Lytechinus pictus: one gene and its partner. The protein of the gene in region 2 purifies or fractionates together with the protein of the main gene of each other region. This does not show direct contact. Links are inferred from orthologs where the notes say so. Each region holds a gene or a part of one and is shown on either strand. Other genes may lie near its edges. The genes, in order: lysine-specific demethylase 5A-like and paired amphipathic helix protein Sin3a-like.

The links.
Region 1: the proteins of paired amphipathic helix protein Sin3a-like (region 2) and lysine-specific demethylase 5A-like purify together in Drosophila melanogaster (affinity purification with western blotting; 3 studies listed by BioGRID, with this or other methods). This does not show direct contact. The link is inferred for Lytechinus pictus from reciprocal best matches to the Drosophila melanogaster genes Sin3A and Kdm5.

The regions. Positions count from the first base shown.
Region 1 is NC_087247.1:31,236,872-31,247,308, reverse strand, and holds the start of lysine-specific demethylase 5A-like, read right to left. Parts: upstream 4,150-10,437; 5' UTR 3,989-4,149; coding exon 3,842-3,988; intron 1-3,841. UniProt on the Drosophila melanogaster protein: Histone demethylase that specifically demethylates 'Lys-4' of histone H3, thereby playing a central role in histone code. Does not demethylate histone H3 'Lys-9', H3 'Lys-27', H3 'Lys-36', H3 'Lys-79' or H4 'Lys-20'.
Region 2 is NC_087247.1:13,908,888-13,919,526, forward strand, and holds the start of paired amphipathic helix protein Sin3a-like, read left to right. Parts: upstream 1-4,005; 5' UTR 4,006-4,105; intron 4,106-4,330; exon of another isoform or gene 4,331-4,415; intron 4,416-4,520; exon of another isoform or gene 4,521-4,609; intron 4,610-10,639.

The DNA of each region.
Region 1 (10,437 bases), about 17 Mb from region 2:
CAGCAAAATCGATAGGCGGCTTCGCTATACGATACTTGACCTTCATGCCAAATTTGAAGATGATCGGAGAAGAAATGCAGCTGATAGAGCGCTCACAAGGAAATCTCTGTGGCGACGGGGGGGGGGGGGGGGGAGAGTCAGGAGAGCACAAAGCGCAAGTTGAAATTTTGAAATGCTGACCTGAAAAATTAATCATTTTTAGGAGTCTTGTCAGTTTTCATGGTTTTTTCTGCTTACAACCACTTTTAAATTTCAATTTTCATTATAGTATCTTCTACACTTACATGTATTTTACCTCAAAACCGGAATAAAGAATAAAGTTATATTCAAAAGGATATAAAATAAACGGGGCACTCCCCATACCCTTAGTTTGGGGGGGGGGGGTAAATGAATTTATTCTTGAAACAGTAAAATAGGGTTCTCTATTTATAATCCATATTGACAAATACTTTGTTTATTTCCTTGAAACTGTAGTAAAATTAAATTCACTGTCGAATCATATAAAAAAGAAGTAAACATTTTTTTTAATTCGTTTTGTCAATCTGAGACACTAGACCCAAAACAAAATATGTACAATTTAGAAAAGATGTACATGTACTGCCTATCAACATATTAACTGATTTTGCAGTATATTCTGCCTAGAACCAGCCAAATATTAAAGTCACCCCTATCTTTCTTACGCCCTCACATGTTTTCCCACTTCTCCTCTCTCTCTCTCTCTCTCTTCACATTCCTCTTTCTCGCCTGTTTAAAAAATATCAGCCCCCCCCCCCAAATAAAAAAAAGGGGGAGAGAGAGAAAGAAGTTCCACCACCGAGAATAAAATTAGAAAAGGAGTAAATGTGATATTATTTTCCAAAACATATTGTCACAATCTATCACAAAATTAACTTTTCTTTTAATATAGACAGAGGGTGCAAAATTTTGCTCGCTCGCTTCAATCCCCTTTCAACCTTTTTGGCAGAAATTTTGCTCTATATGCCATGCTTGGCCCCTCATAAAATAAAAAATAGAAATATTCGGAAAATGATATCATATTTTACCTTTCTCTCTTTTCTTTCCTTTTTTTTTAGTCGTCATTTTTTTGTTTGGGGGGGGGCTTGAGGAAGTGCCTCAAGCCCCTCCCCCCATCTGTGGGCCTATACTAATAGTCTATAAATAGTATATTGTTGTTATTATTTGATGAATAATTTTCAGAGAAACGACTGGTTCAGAAAACTATTAAACACAGCCTTTCGTGAAAAGCTCGACCCGGTTGTTGCGAAAAGGTGCGTTTATTTTACTCCCCTCCCTCAACCCACCCTTTCGAGAAAAGCTCCCCTGGTTTTCTTGAAAGGGTGCAGCCATCCCCGCTCCGCAAACGCAGATGATCGTAACAAGCCTGCATTGCATAAAGCGATTTATACATTTTTGTAAATCCAGCCAAGGCTGCATTTTGTGGCCATCACATGAAATGTCTGAAATTCAATATTTTTTCACCGTTTTAAGTAGGATTTTTTAATGATTATCTGTTCATGTATTGCAATAAAGTTTGTGGTCGTTGCATGTCTCCTTGTATTCGAATTGCGCAGATACACGTACATGGTACATGTAATCATGTATGCTGCAACGGCCGGAAATGGCTCGCCGCATGTACTCGGAGATTGATGACTGGTACTGTACATGTATGCGCAGACTTGGGGGACCTTACCATAGGCATAAGTAAGTACTGTAAAAAGAATTTACCAAATGGTGCCAATGTCCGCATAACCATTAATTTCAAGAATTTTGATTAAACCTGCATGTTAATCATACCATACACGTATTGTAAGAAAAGGCTATGGACAGAAAAGTCCATATCTGCTGTGGTTTCTTTGGAAAAAAAAAGAGATTTTCTTCATGTCACAAGATAATAAACACAATGGCAACATGTCAGGTCTGAAGTCATGATCACTGCATGTCTAATGATCCATGTCCATGTGAAAAGATTGTGTAAGCCTACATGTTTCTCGAAAGCCTTTTCAGTAAACTTTTTAACCAGATCAGCAGACCCCTAGATTTGGCAATTATGTTTCACTTGATTTCTTACAGTATTTCAGATATTCCTCAAACTGTGTCTACAGTTTGATGAGGAATGAATAGGTTTCTTTATGCTCAAGATGAATATGACAATATTTAAATTTGAAAGTACATGTAGTTTCTTGTTAGATTCATGACATACCGTAAGGGCACTAGTATTCAACCCGTTTGGAGAGTTTCCTCAAATATATAGAAATATAGAATTTACCTGAATTTCAGACCCGTCTTATTTCCAAGAGCAAATGCTGGTTATTCTTTTTCTGTTATTTTTTTCTTCAACCAGTTGACTGTGTGCGCGGGCGATCGAATTATACGGCGAGGGATTTTGGTACTAGTATTCAACCCGTCGGCACTAGTTTTCAACCTAGCGATGAAAGATGGCCCTGTCTCTCAATCTGCCCTTGTCCCATCCGACTATGGACTAGACCATTTGAGATGAGACCAAACAGGGAATTAATCAAAGCCAGAGACTTACATAGATCTAGATCTAATTTAGCAATCTAAACCCTTTTGAGATTTGCTATCAATCCTCACTAGGTTGAATACTAGTACCATTCAGTGCAAAAGGCCATCGCCGCATAATTCGATCCTCCGCGCCTACAGTCGACAGATTGACAAAGAAAATATCGACAACAGATTATCCTGGAAATAACAAAGGTATGAAATTAAGATAAATTCCCTATTTCTAAATATTTTGGGGAATATGTCAAAATCTTTGAATTATGCCGGGTTGAATACTAGTACCCATACGGTACATCTGTGATAACTAGTGTGAAATTTTCAATATGAATTTTCTACTACAGTGTACATGCATATGTATGTAGATCTCAACTCAAGGCCTAGCTTGAGTCTAGACCCTTATTATGAAATTATTCTTGAAATCCCCATCTACATCTAGACCTATGTAATATTTTTTCTGTTCGTCCAGATTCAAAACCTATCTGGACATAAAAAAGGTAACAACGGGGTTTAAATGTGCACAAAAATCCCATTCCCATGTCACTCATGACACAGCTGTGCTGTGCCAGTGAGCAGCAGGGTGGCCATTTTGTCAAAGCAAATTGTTCACAATTTGTCAATATTTGGATTGTTGAAAATAAAATGCAAAAGGGATTTCTGAAGAATTTTGTACAAGAAAATGCAGGTAATTGGAATTCTGGTCAATTTTGCTTGAAAATACTGTTTGTGTATCAGAATATTTCAATTTATGTGAAACAGAATATGGTCATTTGGCATTCTCAACTTGCAGTTCACCAGATTATTCAACCCACTCCAGCAAAATGTCTGAATTAACAGTTTTCTGACTGCTTCATGGGGATGAAAATGTCAGATAAAATTGAGATGGGCAGTCCAAAAAATGATATTGAAATTGTCAGCACACCATTTGCCTATCAACTGATGGTAAAAACTTCCTGATTTCTTCAATATATACGCTACGAAAACGAATTATTTGAAGGAAGTTTTTTCTGAATTAGCATCGTTGCATCACATTCGTCGAGTTCGAACAAAAGCCGAGGGAGCGTTTGCACGCAGTGACATTAGCGCAACCTCTACGCTGCATAGGCAGACACACGATCAACTATGGGAGCAAAGTCAAAAGCGAGATAAACAACTCCTTCATTTTAAGTGAAAGTACAAAATCTAATATATTTATGTGGGAATTGGGGACAAGATTACCGTAGAAAGGAATATTACCTAACATTTGAGAGCAAACATTCAATGAATGACAAGAGAAAAATATGTTAAAACTGAATTGTATTAAAACACATTTCGGTTGTCTTACCGGAGGAGGTCTAATTTTACAAATGCCAGTTTTCTCTGCAATGGGCCGTATCTTGGCAATGTAAGCGAGGGGGTCCGAGAAATCTTCCTCTGATGGTTCAAAAACGGGAGCTTCCGGTGGTGGAACGAAAGCCTGACCGTCATCCATGATTATGATTCCAATAAAATCCTTTATTATTTAGTCACACCACAGATTACTCCTTAAAGAGATGTGTTTTCAGTCACATATTTGTGATAAAAATGTTCCTCTCCGAAGTCGAAAACATTACCGTACGTAGATATCGTAATCGCACGATAAGCTATCGATATGCGAGCTGCACGTCACCATTGCGCATGTGTACAGCAGCGTATGGATGGAGTCGGACGGAGTTCAATGCCCCTTTACTTTCAAGTTAAAATTAAAATGTCTAATAATCTAAAAGCAGTTTGCATGGTTTAATAAAAGGTTTTGTAAACTGATCTATTCTTCTAAAAGATGACAACCTGACTAGACCCGTGATCTTTTCCTTTCATTAGAGGGGGACGCATATGCGGATCCAGGGGGGCCCGAGGGGCCCGCCCCCCCCGCCCCCTATTGACGGAGCAAAAAAAAAAGGAAAGAAATAAACAAACAACAAAAAAAGGAGGGAAAAGAGAGGAGAAAAAAGGAATGGAGGAAGACGAGTGAATAAAATAAGATGAGGGGAAGACTTGGAAAATGAAAAGAATCTTATGATGTCACTATAAAAATAAAATTTGCTCGTGCTTCGCGCTCGCATTGCCTGTTATGTGATTTTGTTCAATAAAGGTTATCTTGTTCAATATGGAGTTTAAATATCAAGTTTGGAAGTCAATATACAAAACATATTTCATCTCTAAAAATCGAACTTTCATTATTTTGTGAGATTTACTAAATGATTTTTAAAAATTGCTTTGTAAAAATGTCAGTTTTATGGTCTGAATATTAACATTTTCTGCTCGCGCTGCGCGCTAGCAAATTTTGATTTATCAGGTACTTATTATTTTCGTGTATTCCATTAAGTTGTCAAAATATCCCTTTTCAGGTTTGATTGTCACAACGTATCAGCTAGCGCTGCATGCTCGCATTTTGATGGTCGAGTTATGTATGTCTCAATATTGATTACATAACAAACTTCTTAAAATTCCCTTTTCATGACAGTGTTTAAAAAACTTAGGCTCGCAATTTGCGTTCGCGTTAATGGTTAAAGACATATTAACTGATGCAACCTATTTATAATTACAAAAGTGCTTGAAATATCCAGTTTCAGGCCATAATATCATCAGATTTCGCGCCCTCATTAGGCATTAATGAATAAGATATCAATTTAATAATTGAAATGTCCCTTTTGTTTCATCTCGCGCTTAGCAAGAAGAATAGGAAGACAGTCATCATTTTCATAATTATGATGACATGTCCTAAGGATGTCCTATCCGGTGTCCTATGTCCTATGTCAAAACTCAAAGTAATTATAATGAAAAATATCAGCTCTTTATCAAGTGCGATCGATATCCGCCTCACAATTTTCCTACAAAGTGCTTGAAATAGAGAGCTGAAATTGACTCTTTTTTCAGATCGGAATATCAAATAGTTTAAGCTCGCGCTTCTCGCGCTCGCTTTTATTTTCATGATAAAATATGTATATAGAATGCCTAGATTCTATGTCAAAATATGAAACACGCGCGCACATGTTTATTCAGATACTCAACTTGTTCTCTATTTAAATCATTATCCAGTTTCAGATCACAATATCAAAAAAATTCTGCTCGTGCTTTGTGTTCGCATTATTAATGTAGGGAGATCCCCTATGACTCATTCTTTTCATGATTTACAAAACATGAATAGCGTGTCCCGTTTTGGGGTCTAAATCTCGATTTTTTTTCCGCTCGCGCTTCGCGCTCGCATCAATGTTTAGTTATATAGCTATCCTGTTCACGATTACACAAATTGATTAAAATTTTCCATTCTAATGCAGAAATGTGAAAATTTTCAGCTCGCGCTTTGCGCTCGCATTATTTGATTGTTGAAATATGTAAACGTCTTCATGGCTAAGTGCATGCAAGTAGTCCTTAATAGGTACTTTTTCGATCAGTTCAAAACGCGTATAAAAATGTTCTGCTCACGCTTTGCGCTAGCATTATTAGTGTAAGGAAGATCCCCAATTACTCATCCTTTTCATGATTTACAAAACATGAATAGAGTGTCTCGTTCAGTGGGTCTAAATCTCGAAAATTTTCCGCTCGCATCAATGTTTAGTTATATACCTATTCTGTTTAAGTTACAAAAAGTGCTCAGAATTTCCATTCTTTAGGTAAAAATGTCAAAAATTTTCAGCTCGCGCTCGCATTATTTGATTTCTAAAATATAACGTCTTCATGGCTAACTGCATACAGTCTTTAACAAGTACTTTTTCCATCAGTTCATTTCTGCTCGCGCTTCGCGTTCGTAGTAATTATTTAGTTGCATACACATCTTTTTCAGGATAACAAAAATTGCCCAGAATGTTCATATTTTAGGAAAAAAATGCATAAGATTTCCAAAAAATTTAGCTCGCGCTTCGCGCTCGCATTATATAAATAAGGATTATGATATTATATATTTATGTTGATTTATAAGAATAAAGCTAAGAAGTGACTATTAGGATTACCCCTTCAAAGAAACCAAAAATCATCTTCGAGCGGCCGATCGGGGGAAATATGGCTGAAAAAAATTCAGCCCCCCCCCCCTATTGGCGAAGGCTGGATCCGCCCCTGGGGAGGGGGAGGGAACCACCTCCTATGATGTCAAGCCCGAGGGACTGCGTCAAGAATTCAAAACAAGAATTAAAAGGGAGAAAGGGAAAAGTATCAAGAAAATTATGAAAATGAGGGGCCTGGGCCGCGTAACTTTATTACACAGATAATTATGATCCAGAATCTGTCCTATAAATACCTGAGATATTTCAGGGGCGGATATCCAGCTTTCGCCATGATGGGGGGGGGGGGGCCGAAAAAATTCAATGAAAACTGGAGAAAGCAATTTGGTAATTATGAATCCCGGTTATGAATAGGATATGCATGGGTTCATATATTATCAACAATTTATTAATGCGAGTGCAAATCGCTAGTCAAAATTTTTGATAAAACGTCAGGAAAATGGGATCATAAAGTTTGTTATATAATATCAATAGAGGTATACATTACTCACCAATCAAAATGCGAGCGCGCAGTGCTAGCTATATTGGTTTTGACAATCAAACCGGAAAGGGATATAATTTAGATCACTTTATGGAACACACTAAGAGAATAGGTATTTTGCAAATCAAATAATGCGAGCGCGCAGCGCGAGCTGAAAATGTTGATACTCAGACAATAAAACGGACATTTTACAACTGAACACTTTTTGAAAATCAATTTGTAAATCAAACAAAATAATGAAAGCTCGACGTCCGAACTAAAATATATTTTGTATATTGACTTCGATACTTGATATTTAAAGCTCCATATCAGCCTATTGAGCAAGATATGATTATGTATTACATGTTCAGTGAGTCACCGAACATGCAATGCGAGCGCGAGCGAATTTTTTTTTAATGACCGTATGAAAGATTTTTTTTCCAAGTCTTCCCCTCACCTTATTTTATTCACTCGTCTTCCGCCTCTTTTTTCCTCTTCTTTTGTTTGTTCTCCCCTCTTTCCATTCTTTTCTTTCTTTCCCCTTTTTCTTTCGTTTTTGCTCCGCAAATGGGGGGGGGGGGGGGTTCCTCACCCCCCTGGATCGGCCTAAAGGCGTCTATGATATTGACGAAGGGACCTAGACCCTGTTCATCTTGAATGACACTTTTTATTTAAGCTTTAAGGCAATTATAATCATACTACTGAAAATACCCCTGTTCACTCGGAGAGGATGAGTTGACCAGGGCTCTGGGAGCGATTTTTAGAGAGGGAGTGCTGATGTGAATTTGACAACCAAAAAAAAAAGAAGAAGTTTTTACTTAAAATTGAGGTGCTTTCGGTCCCGAGAAATATTTAACAAGCAATAAAAAAAAACAGGGGGGTTCAATCCAGAATAAAAGTGGTTTTGGTCCACAGAAAAAAAAGGTTTTCCTAATAAATCTCGTTCACTTTTCATTACATTTTTGTCATTTATATGGTAACACACGGCGCAGCACTCCCAAGGAAAATTTTAGGGGGGGGGGGGGTGGTGCTTCACCCCCATAGCACCCCTGCTTCCCAGGACCATAATAATAATAGTAATAAAAATAATTATTATTTATGTTCCATTTGTATAGCGCAGCTACTATAATTGCTTGATACTTGTCGGGATACTTGGTATCATCATTACCCCGGCTGTAGCTGAGCCGCGCGCGCCGTATAGGCGCTAAAGCTTTCAAGGTATAGATCCTACCGGGTACCCATTCACCTAACCTGGGTCGAGTGCAGCACCATAGGCGGATCCAGGGGGGCCCGAGGGGCCCGCCCCCCCCCCCTATTGGCGGAGAAAAAAAAAGAAAAAAAAAGAAGGGAAAAGAGAGGAGAAAAAAAGAAGAAGAAACATAAGAGGAGGAAGACGAGTGAATAAAATAAGATGGGGGAAGACTTGGAAAATAATTTTAAAAATCTTTCATGTCGGGATATAAAATTTTCGCTCGCGCTTCGCGCTCGCATAACCCTTTAGGTGATTTACATATCTTGCTCAATATGGAGCTTAAAATATCAAATTTTGAAGTCCAAATACAAAACGTATTTCAGCTCGGAAATTTAACTTTCATTATTTTGTTTGCTTTACAAATTGATTTTTAAAAAGTGCTCTGTAAAAATGTATGTTTTATGGTCTGAATATTAACATTTTCTGCTTGCGCTGCGCGCACGCAAAATTTGATTTGTCAGGTACCTATTATTTTCCTGTATTCCATTAAGTTATCAAAATATCCCTATTCAGGTCAGATTGTCAAAACGTATCAGCTATAGCCCTGCACGCTCGCATTTTGATTGGTGAGTTATGTATATCTCAATATTGATTCTAAAACAAACTACTTAAAATCTCCATTTGATTACAGTTTATCAAAAATTATGGCACGCGATTACCGCTCGCATTGATTGTTGAAAGATATTATCTCATGCATCTTATTCATAATTACAAAAGTGTTTTAAAATAATGTCCAGTTTTCAGGCCATAATATTAACAGATTTCGCGCTCTCATGCTTAGGAAGAGAGATAGGAAGATTGTCATCATTTTCATATGATGACATAATGTCCTCATAGAATGTCCCGGTCAAATCTCTAAGTAATAATAATATCAGCTCTTTTTAAACTGTGATCCATATCCACCTCACAATTTTCCCACAAAGTGCTTGAAATACAGAGCTTAAATTGTCCCTTTTTCAGATCGGAATATCATATATTTTTAGCTCGCGCTTTGCGCTCGCTTTATTGGTTTTCATAATAAGAGAGGTATTTAGAAATACCCAAATTCTAGTTCGAAATCTGAAACACGCGTTTAGATTGTTCTCTATTTAAATCAATATCCAGTTCCAGATCACAACATCAAAAATTGTCTGCTCGCGCTTTGCGCTCGCATTATTAATGTAGGAAACTTTCCAATTACTCATCCTTTTCATGATTTACAAAACATGAATAGAGTGTCCGAAATGTTTCCGCTCGCGCTTCGCGCTCGCATCAATTGTTTAGTTATATACTTATCCTTTTCACTATTACAAAAAGTGCTTAGAATTACCATTCTTCAGGTAGAAATGTCAAAATTTTCAGCTCGCGCTTCGCGCTCGCATTATTTGATAATTCATATATGTAACGTCTTAATGGCTAACAAGCAGCCGTTAACAGATCCTTTTTTTATTAGATCAAAACGTATATTAAAAAGAATATATTAAAGAGTATATTATGTATTCGAATATTTTAATATTAGGATGTACTATACAAGCTCTGCTTTTTAACAGCCTCCTCCATTCCAAACCTGCTTATATATCCACTCTTATCCAACACGAAGCTCCACAAACTTTCATTTAACAAATCCAAAACTAATAATAACACACAAATCAATTAGACATTACGGTGCGGATTTGTGGAATAATTTATCACATGACATTAAGCTATGCACATCACTTTATTCATTCAAAGCTGTTCTGAAAAAAATACACTGTCAAGCTATAATTTCTAAAATCTTTCTGTGTACCCAAACAACTGATAATCCCATCCCCCCTTGCACATGCACACTCGCACACCTGCACTTGCACTTTCACTTTTATCAACGTTATTAATCTTCTCTCAATCAAATTTCCCTATCCACTTTTGATATATTCCTATTATTTTGTGCAGTAAAAGATAATTCTCTTTTATTGCACTATACAGTCTGGTTTTCTATCCCCTTTCCTTTCGAGGCCTCCATCACTTTCAAGCTCCAAGCTTAAGATGGAGGTCTCCCACATTTCTATATATATATGTTCAGTAATTAAAGAAAATGTATATATTGATATAATTTTCACAGTACAGTTGATATTTTATAATGATTTATGTACATTATTCATTATGTTAAAAAAAAATATTTGCCTATTATGTAATATTGAAGAAAAACAATTATTATACTTGTATATACTTTGTTT
Region 2 (10,639 bases):
GTATGGCATACATATATAACACTAATAACAAGAGGTGACAGTCTGTGGTATATGCAATTGAGCTTGAAAACTAGGTGGGAGGATCTAAGGAGATTTATCAGAATGGGGTTAAATGATATGATTGCTCAGGGAATAATTTTGCTGGACAAATTTGAATAGCATTTTTGGTCATAAGAGAAAAGCTCTCAACTATTATAATGTACAGTCCTATGTAAAAATATGCTATTCAAAAGACTTTATGCATAGCAGTCTTTCAAAAATGTGGAGCGAATTGCGATGCGATACGAGGAAAATTATTCCCTGTTGCTCATTTGTAAGAGTTGCTTATTTGTCATTGAATTTTTTTAATATGGTAATGTTTTCATGAAATTCATGGATCAAAGCATACATGTGTAATGCTTATATCATCATCTTGCATCAAATTTTCTTTTGGAACTGTCAGTTTTTGTATACCGTTCAGATATTGTTCTTTTTTTTCTACATACATTCTGTTACATGTAACTTATTATTTTGTGCAATAGAAGCCATAATTTACATGCACTTATTTAAAAACTTTATGCAATTTTTTCTTGATCCTGAAAGACTGATTAATTCTTTGAATTCAAGAGATCATGTACCATTGTACAATATCATGCCTTTAGATGTTGTATAATAATGTCTCCAATCTTAAAACCTTTTCTTTTACTTTATTGCTTTTCTATCCAGTGGGATTTTTTTCAAGATTTTATCATATGATGCTAATTGTTCTGAATTCATTAACTCTTTCATGATTGTCATAATAAAGTATTTATTGTTAACGAATTATAAGATGGATTCATGTTCTCTTGGTGTCTTGTTACAAAAAGGAATAAACTTTCTTTCGATTTACATGCACATAAACAGTGTTTCTAGTATCTGCTTTTGTGTAGCTTGTGATGTAAGTTTTCAAAATGTGAAGGTTTTGTTGTTCAGAAGTGGAAACTTGCTTACCTTTTCATTTGTGTCATCACATATGATGAAATGAAATATTGATTTTATGAACCAAATTTTGATTTGACAAAGGGTAAATTATTAATAGATTGACTAAGTGAGAGTAAGTTAGTTGGGCTGTAGAGTAATTAGTCCAAATTGAGAGTAGATCAAGTGGTTGTTAGGCAGAGATGGAAATGGCAGAGGTGAATATGGCAAATCTTAAGGAACTGACGGAGGCAAAAATGACAGGTTAAATTGGCATGCTACATTAACTTGGAAAAGAGAGAGCCTTTCCCGTCGATATCAACGATCTATCTATGATTTATGAGTCCGATATACTAGTAATTCAAATTATCTTGTAACAACCTTTCTTAGTTAACTAGCCATCTATATGCAGGAGATTAACTGCCATTTTTACAGCTTTACATTTCCTTAATTGAATTACAGGGTCTGATGTAGAGTTACACTCCCAGAGCTCATTTTGATACTCATCCGTATCCCCACCCCCACCCATCTTTTTTTATGGGGGTGGCGCCACCCCTGGTATTTACATTAAAAATTGTCATTGTGGTTTCATTTATTGTGTTACTTTAGCATTTGGGGAATTCTAATATTCTATATACTGAATTAAGATTGGCCTACTGTACGCCTCGTAAAAAAATTCTTCATGTCGTTTTCATATCAATGCACAGAGAGATAAAATATAATAGTAATAATAATAATGATGACACCCAACGTGCTTTTCCCAAATGGCCCAAAGCGCTTACAATTTAAGTTTACCTAATTCATGCAAAAACAAATACAGAATGAATGAACAAACACGTTTTTTATGAACATCTTAAATGATTCAACTTTTGGGGACTTTGTCTTAATGTGAGAGGGAGATTGTTCCATTCCATTGAGGATGCAAAAGTGAAGGTTCTATCTCCGGTCCGTTTTCGTTCTGTTGCACATATGCAATTAATATATGCAGATCCTCTGAAGACCCAATGGAATTAACGTATATGTTAACTTAAGTGGGTCTTTAGAGGAGTCTAGTTTTTCTACCTGGGATATAAATTTCTAAACAATCAGACAAATATTTTTGGGGGCTAGGTTATATACCAAAAGAAGTAGCTTGAAAATGATCCGATATGGTGCCAGTGTAAATTATGTAACAGGGGTTCAGGAGGTGTGTCACGGCGGACTTCGAAATTCAAGACGGAGGCGCTGTAGACGATTTATCCCCTTTCCCATACCCCACCCCCTCCCCATGAAAGATTCTGTCAAAAGCCAACGTTTTGCTCAAGTGACATTCTAAACATTCTACAGTCATGTGCATTTCAAAATTTACCAAAACGAAAATGAAAATGTGAACATGCATACATGCACTAAGTCTGAATTGGAGTTACAATCAAATGTTATAACAATTAACAAAACAAAAAGTCTCTGTATGCTTGCATTTCGAATTTCAAACAGTTACGATTCTGACCAAAATAAATGTTTCCAAACATAATTGAAAACTATATAACCGATGGAAAATTACCACTATATTTTACTTTTCTCCTTGTATGTTTTTATCTATATATCTTATGATTTTTTTAAGGGAATAACTGTACTTGTTGATTTACTAGATCATGAAATCGAGTTCTAATTGGTTAAAGGAAATTACAGCTACACCAAATTATCAGTTTGGCTAAGTATCGTACAGTCTAAAAACAAATCAGTAAAAAATGACTATAGTGAATAGGGTCAGCTGGGTGCCACTGTTATTCTCGTTATTTGACTATTTTCTTGTCGTATTTTACTAGAATAGAGTATAGAATATATGTCAGAAATGTGACTAGCATATCAGTTGCACCCAGCTATGACCACTTGTCCAGTCAATTTGACTGATTTGTTTTAAGAGTGTATATTCCACAAACTAGCGGATTAAAAATCAAGATTTTATCATTTATACATTCCTCTCCAATACGCAGAAACAACATTAAGCTAACAAATGTAATTTAGAAAAGGTTATGGAGACAAACAATATACAAATTTACGTGTAGTTGAGGCAGAAAATAGAGAGTGACTAAAGGCCTTGGAGGGGCAGGAGAAGATTGTCACCCCCTGAAAATCGATTCGCCCCTCAATAAGTTTGAAAACTTGAAAAAGAAAAATAGCTATACTGAGCTGTTAAACTTGGCATGAAAAAAAGTAAAAATACTAATACAAAATTTTCATTTATTTTGCACACCTTTGCCATGCAAAATTATGTAATAGAAAATTTGGCACGCCGAAAATATTGGACAATTGTAGATTAGGCCTAATACCACTTTTCAATGACAAACAGCCTCCCATAATGATCAGTCTTTTTTTTTTACACTTATTTCACAATAATTTTTTTTTGTATTTATATGACTTATTTCACAATTATGGTTTATACATGTAATTGGCACACATTCTTGATATACTGACTTTCATGGCTATAAACAATCTTTTCGTCTTCTGATGGCGAAGAGAGAAATTATCAGGAGAAAGAAATAATACTCGAAGCTGTGTGCATTGATAGAAATACATGAAGGCCTATATACAGCAAAACGATTGGAGTTATGAACATCTTTCTTTTAATATACCCAAATTTGAATTAAGTGTAAATAATTGCTATGCAACACACCGGGTACATGCGATCGAAGTTTCTGTTATTTCGGTAATTTTCAAAATTGTATAATTCACAGAATAAATAATAAAGACACCCATGTATTGTTCAAGCTTGTGCATTTCTGCCAGGATCAGTTTACGTTCAGGAATACGTTAGGCTAATCATTCCCGTAAAGTGGGAGTAGACTTTTCGAGCACCAATTCCATAGAACTTCCAACAAATTGATAAAATTTAGAACCTCGCGCCGCAAACTTCAAACACTTCTTACAATCAACTAAATTCTATTTTCATTGGCTTGTTAAGGATTGTGGGCGTAGGGCGCGCGTTTCACCTGTCAGGGTTCGCGTGTATGCAGCTCATCATTGGTCACTTAATGAATTAACGTTGTGACGTAGACTACTGCCCATAGGTCGTACGTATTATATGCAAATAAGCATAACAGTGTATCTTTCCCGAAATAAGGATGTGGATTTACCCGTAGATTTGGACGTAAAATCCGAGGAAATCTGGACCATCTGATTGATTTCACTGGTAATTCTCTCTAGGTTTATTTGTTGAAGTGTTCTTTTCTCTAGCATTGTATGGCAAATCTTTTGATCGCAGGTTGGATGATAATCTTTTATATTTTAGCAAGGTTTTCACAGCGGAGACCATAGAAAATTTCGACCCGAACTCTCCCTATGTTTTGATCGTCAAGCGTCTCGCACTGCCCAGCTGGTGAGGTTGTTGTATGGGACTGCAATTTTGATGGTTGTTTCTTCACAGATAGCCTCATGTTTACGTTATTTTAAAGGTGGATGGATAGGGGATGTTAATCACTGTGTATTGCGGAACCTTTAGTGTAAGTTATATATATTTTGTTAATCTGAGAATACATTTTCTTCGAGTTTTGGTGACAAAAGACGTGAATTATGTCCCGACGTCCGACTTGTTCTGCGTTGGTTGTGCACTGTCTTCGCGCGATGTTTGACATGGTATGTGTTGGAAAATTGTAAAATTTTGTGTGTTGGAATTCATCTGAGCATTTCAATTTCTGTAAGTAATAGACCTTGTTTATTTTCCATCATTTTCATATTTGATTTGTAGGTATTCGTTGGAAGATTGAATGATACTGAAGATTATAATTCTGCTCCAAATGTCCGCCCCAAAACGGATTGGCCATTGCACGTTAAATTATGTTCCCATTATTGTGTGCATATCATGCGGTGCTTGTGTGTAGGCCGTGGTGAATTGTGGCGTCTGCCTTTGACTTCGACCGATGTGATTATTCAGAGAAAACCAAGGGAATATGCCAGTTTTATTCCATATTTGCATTCAAAATCATTTAATTTACTATTTGTTTTTATCACCATGATCATTTTGCAAATTTACCACACAAAGTCTGCTATGGAATCGTCTAATTTCTTGTTTATGTGAGCACTTTAGTTCTGTGATTTTTGTGCGGTGGATTGACAACAGCCAGCTTCCTGGTTATCTCAAAGATATTGTTTATGGGCTGATACCATTTTTGTGTAGGGGTCTTTGGGGTGGTAGTTGTGGGATGTGTCTTAACTTTTTTTTCTTTTCCCCCTTTTATTATTCGTTAAGACACCTTTTATGTAAGATAAAGAAAATTACATGTTCTTTTTTTTTATATTTTAAGATATAAATTAAAATTGTATGTTCTTTCTTGATGATTAGACGGCTTTGGCTTTGCGTGCTAGGTTTAAATCGCCAGTCTTCCTATTTTTAATGGTTCATGCTGATCATCCAAGGAGAGTTTCAGTCAGCCATTTTTTGACACAGCAACAACTTGCTTCGGCGAGTCATTGGGTCTGTGCATTCATTGCAGATTTCCATGTGTTGTAGTCCCTCGTAGTATGCACACAATGTATTGACCTAGCAGAGGTGGACTATTATTAGCTTTGTTTGAGGTGGAACATGGCTGAAAGCACACCCTATGTTGAATTTTTCAGTTCCAAAGCATGAAATATTATATTGTCATGCATGCCAATGCCATTGACAATGTCATTTGAATTATACATGTTTATCCATGGACATTTTATGAATTCCCTCTTAAAGTAAACACACCAAAAAGGCTATGTTTATGCTATTTCTGATTACCTGTATTTGTCAATTGTCATGTCCGAATTCCTCAGTCTCATTCAGGAGTAACTGTAATCTCATAAAGTTTACATGTACATGTCATGTAACAAAACAAATGAATGGTATGGATATGAAATAAATGACATGTAAATTGTAAGCACAGGAATTATTTATTCTTAAACTGGTTTTGCTAATTGGAGGATCAAGGATGTAGCTTATAAGTGAATATTCTTGAGTCAGAAATTGTGAAATGTTTGCATCATGAACAGGCATGTTGGAGTGTAATGGTGCAAATTATAATTGTTTCATGTCATTGGTTGAAAATCAAGTTGTGCATGATTTTTAGAGTTGCAATCAATCGCAACTCTAAAAATCACGCGCAACTTGATTTTCAACCAATGAACAGCGCGCATTTGGTACTTGCGATTTTTTTTGGCTTGCGTTTAAACGCAACTCTTTCTGCAACGGGCCCCATCCATAAACTGTCACAACTCAAGGTATTTTTTGTGATGTGTTGCTGTAGGTGGAGGATCAAACTTACATAAAGAAATTAATCATGATTTTTGAAGCAAACTGGAATTTGAATTTTCCAAATTTGGCTGTGTTGCCCGAGTTGAGTGTGGCAGAATGTTTTTAATTTTTGTGGGTAATTTTCAACAAAGTTGATGATGCCACTTTCTTTATTTCTTTTTCTTTTTTGTTTAGAGTTTGCACCATTATTTTTTTTCTACATGCAGTATTTACATATTGTAAATCTTTTGAATGCAACACTGAACACAATCAAATTTAACACATACATTTAAAGGTCAAGTCCACCCCAGGAAAATGCTGACTTGAATAAATAGCTCTAGAAAAATCAAACTAGCATAGTGCTGAAAATTTCATCAAAATCGGATGTAAAATAAGAAAGTTATGACATTTTAAAGTTTCGCTTATTTTTCACAAAACAGTGATATGCACAACTACAGTAAATGAGTCAGTCGATGATGTCCATCACTCACTATTTCTTTTGTTTTTTATTGTTTGAATTATACAATATTTCATTTTTTATAGATTTGACAATAAGGACGAACTTGACTGAAACATACATGTAGTATTAAACAATGCTAATGCCACATGTACAGGGAGGAATTAATAGTTGTATCACTTGACAATGAGGAGTAAATTAGACTATTTCATATAATAAAATACAAAAGAAATAGTGAGTGGATGACGTCATAGTCTCCTCATTTGCATACCAGCCAGGATGTGCATATTACTGTTTTGTGAAATTAAGCGAAATTTTAAAATGTTATAACTTTCTTATTTTACATCCGATTTTGATGAAATTTTCAGTGTTATGCTTGTTGGATTTTTTCTCTTTTTATTCAAATCAACTTTTTGTTGGGGTGGACTTGTCCTTTGAGGATTAATTAGTGACAATGTTCATCATATAAATTTTAGATTCATTTACTAGCAGGCCTATCTGTAATGATTAAATCAGTCAAGCTATTTTTGTCTCACCTGCATAGCAGAGTGAAACTAAAGGCGCCGCTTTTCCAATGGCAGCGGCGTCAACATCAAATCTTAACCAAAGGTTAAGTTTTTGAAATGACAGCATAACTTAAAAAAAAGTATATGGACCTAGTTCATGAAACTTGGCCAAAAGGGTAATCAAGTATTACTGAACATCCAGCCTGTGTTTCAAGTCACATGACCAAGGTCAAAGGTCATAGGTCATTGAGGGTCAATGAACTTTGACCAAGTTGGGGGTATTTGTTGAATTACATGTACCATCATAACTTTGAAAGTTTATGGATCTGATTGATATAACTTGGACTTAAGTGTAATCAAGTTTCACTGAACATCTTGTGGGAGTTGAATTACCATCATACATGTAACTCTGAAAGTGTATGGATCTAGTTCATAAAACTTGGACATAAGAGTAATCAAGTATCACTGAACATCTTGTGCGAGTTTCAGGTCACATGACCAAAGTCAAAGGTCTTTTAAGGTCAATGAACTTTGGCCACGTTGGAGGTAATTATCAAATTGCTGTCATAACTTACAGAGTTTATGGATAGTTTGTGAAATGTGGACATAGGTGTAATCACTGACAAGTCTTAAGTATCACTGACAAGTCTTAGGTCACATGATCAATGTCAAATATCATTTAGGGTCAATGAACGTAGTATTGTATCATATGAATGGTGCTTTTTGTGAATAATCATTTTATAGTAGTTTTCAAGTCAGCACTGCTGCTATATTGAATCGCTTAATGCAGGTGAGACTGCCAGAGGTGCTCCACTTGTTAAGAGTAATTAAGCCCCCATTCCACAGAGGGGAGATTTTTAAAACAATACCTTTGAAAGACAAAAAAATGGCAAGGTCTTAGAGCAATCTCCAAGATCACTGAATTTGTCATCTCTGTGGAATGGCTCAAAAAGACCACTCAAAGAACTCTGAAAGACCGATTGATACTTCTTGTCTTACTAGTCATATAGACATCTTTCAATTGTCTTTCAGAGATCTTTTATGCAACAAGTGATCTTTCAGAATTCTTTCGAGTTTCCATGGACTTTTCCTGGTCTTTCAAGTTTCAATGATCTCTCATGAGTCTTACAGAGCTACAGTGGTGCTACATAATGGTGCATTTGCGGCAATGACTTCACTGTACATTTGCATGTAATTGCTTACAAGTACAATTTATTATTTTATTTTAGAATAAAGGAAAATAAAGTTACTTCCATTTATTATTTAAAAAAATAATTTTTTAGAATAAAACTCAAATAAGCATAATAAATTTCACTCAAAACAAATGTAAAATAGGAAAGTTATGACATTATTAAGTTTCACTTAATTTCCCAGTACAAAATTACAATGCACATCTGTCATCTGGTCAATATGCAAATGTGGGAACTAGGAACCAATAATGTCACCCACTCTCATTTCTTTTCTATTTTATTATATGAAATATGCCATACATGTATGTATATTGTCTCAGTTTAATGTGAAACAGAATTATTACTTCCTAACCAGGAGGAATTTAGATTGTATTGAATGAAGAGTTTCTGTTCAAATCAATGAAATATTGTTATAGTCTAAAACAATGAAATACAAACGAAATTGTAAGTGTGCCAAATTGACAATAATGTGTATGTCACTTTGATGTGCAGACACTGCAGAACCAGTTTATTGAAAATAAGTGAAATTTTAAAATGCCATAACTTTCATATTTTCCATTCAGTTTTGATGGAATTTTCAGTATTATTCATTTGGTCTTATTCAAACCAGCTTTTTATTGGTTTAGATTTCCAATTTAAAGGAAAATTAGCTTGTGTGAAAGCATAAAAATCAAAGAATAAGCTCAACAAAAGTTTGTGTAAAATTGGACAAGAAGAATGTTCAGACTTATGAGCATTTGAATGTCATTTTCACCAATGTTGTGGAAATACTGCAATCTTCCCATGATCAATTAGCTAGGTGAGCAAGAACTGTGATTTCAAACATGTTCAGGCTTTTGGACATTGCAAATATACACCAAATCATCTCTTAAGATATAAAGGACAAGTCCACCACAACAAAATATTGGTTTGAATAAAAAGAGAAAAATCAAACGAGCATAATACCGAAAATTTTATCAAATCGGATGTAAAATAAAGTTATGACGGTTAAAGTTTTGCTTAATTTCACAAAACAGTCATATTCAAATCTTGATCGGTATGCGAATAAGGAGACCGATGACGTCATCCACTCACTACTAGTATTTCTTTGGTATTTCTTGAAATGAAATGTAAATATGCTTATTTTCTCCTCATTGCCATGCAAAATAATGATTTATTCCTCCCTGAATGTGTAATTACCATTGTTTTCACATTTTGTAGTTCAAACAAGAGGGTTCTTATTGCCAAATGAAATATGTAAAAATTGAAATATTCAGTGGACTTGACCTTTAAGTTCTGACTAAACAATTCTTCTGTGATATGTTTTCAAACCTACACATGTACATGTACATGCCACTTAAAAAAATAAAAACGCCTAATTTTGCGAGAGACCTGATATAAGAGAAAATTGACGTGAAATTGTACTTCCATGTACATTAGGTAATTGGGAAGTTATGACATCGCAGATCTTGGTCATATTTGCCATTAGAAGGATCTACATAGAATTAGTGATCTAAATGTTTTCCTTAAAAGATTCTTCATTCTTGTTATTTTTATTGACCATTAAGCTACATGGACATGTGTAGGCCCAAGTCAAAACTTATAATTAGTAGCCTATCTTGCCCATTCCAAACATTACTCTACCAGTTTTACAACATTTCGGGTGGCCGCAAGTAGCTGCTTGGAGCAATTTTATTCGCCATTAAAAAAAAGAAGCAAAACAATGATTTTTTTTTTCGGGGGGGGGGGTCAAATTTGAGTAGAAAATGTCTGCAGTCTGCAGGTTTGAAAAGGGTCACTTGGGTGCAGCATTGAATTTTTTGCCTTACCATTCAATGTTGATTTCAATTTTCGCTTCTTCAAAAAGTGTAATCAAACTTGGACGAGTTCAAAGGTTTCTCTCAAATTACATGACTGCAAGACCACAAATCATATTTTTTTATTTATAAAAGAAGGCAGCCAACTACAATTTATCCCCATCAGAATGGGATTTTAATACCCTTATTCTGAGCTATCTGTACATTGTAGTATGCCTGAGTCATCCCGTTTTTTCTCGCCTGCTTAGCATCTTGCGTTAGTTTTAGGTCACATGACCAAAGTTAAATGTCATTTAAGGTCAATGAACGGTAGGAGTATTTGTTGAATTGCCATCATAAATTTGAAAGTATATGGATCTAGTTCATGAAACTTAAAGTCGTTAGACAAAAGAGTTCTCAAGTATGACTGAACATTCTGTATGAATTTCAGGTCACATGACCAAGGTCATTTAAGGTCAATGAACTCTGGCAATAATGGGGGTATTTGCTAAATTGCCATCATAACTTTGAAAGTTTATGGA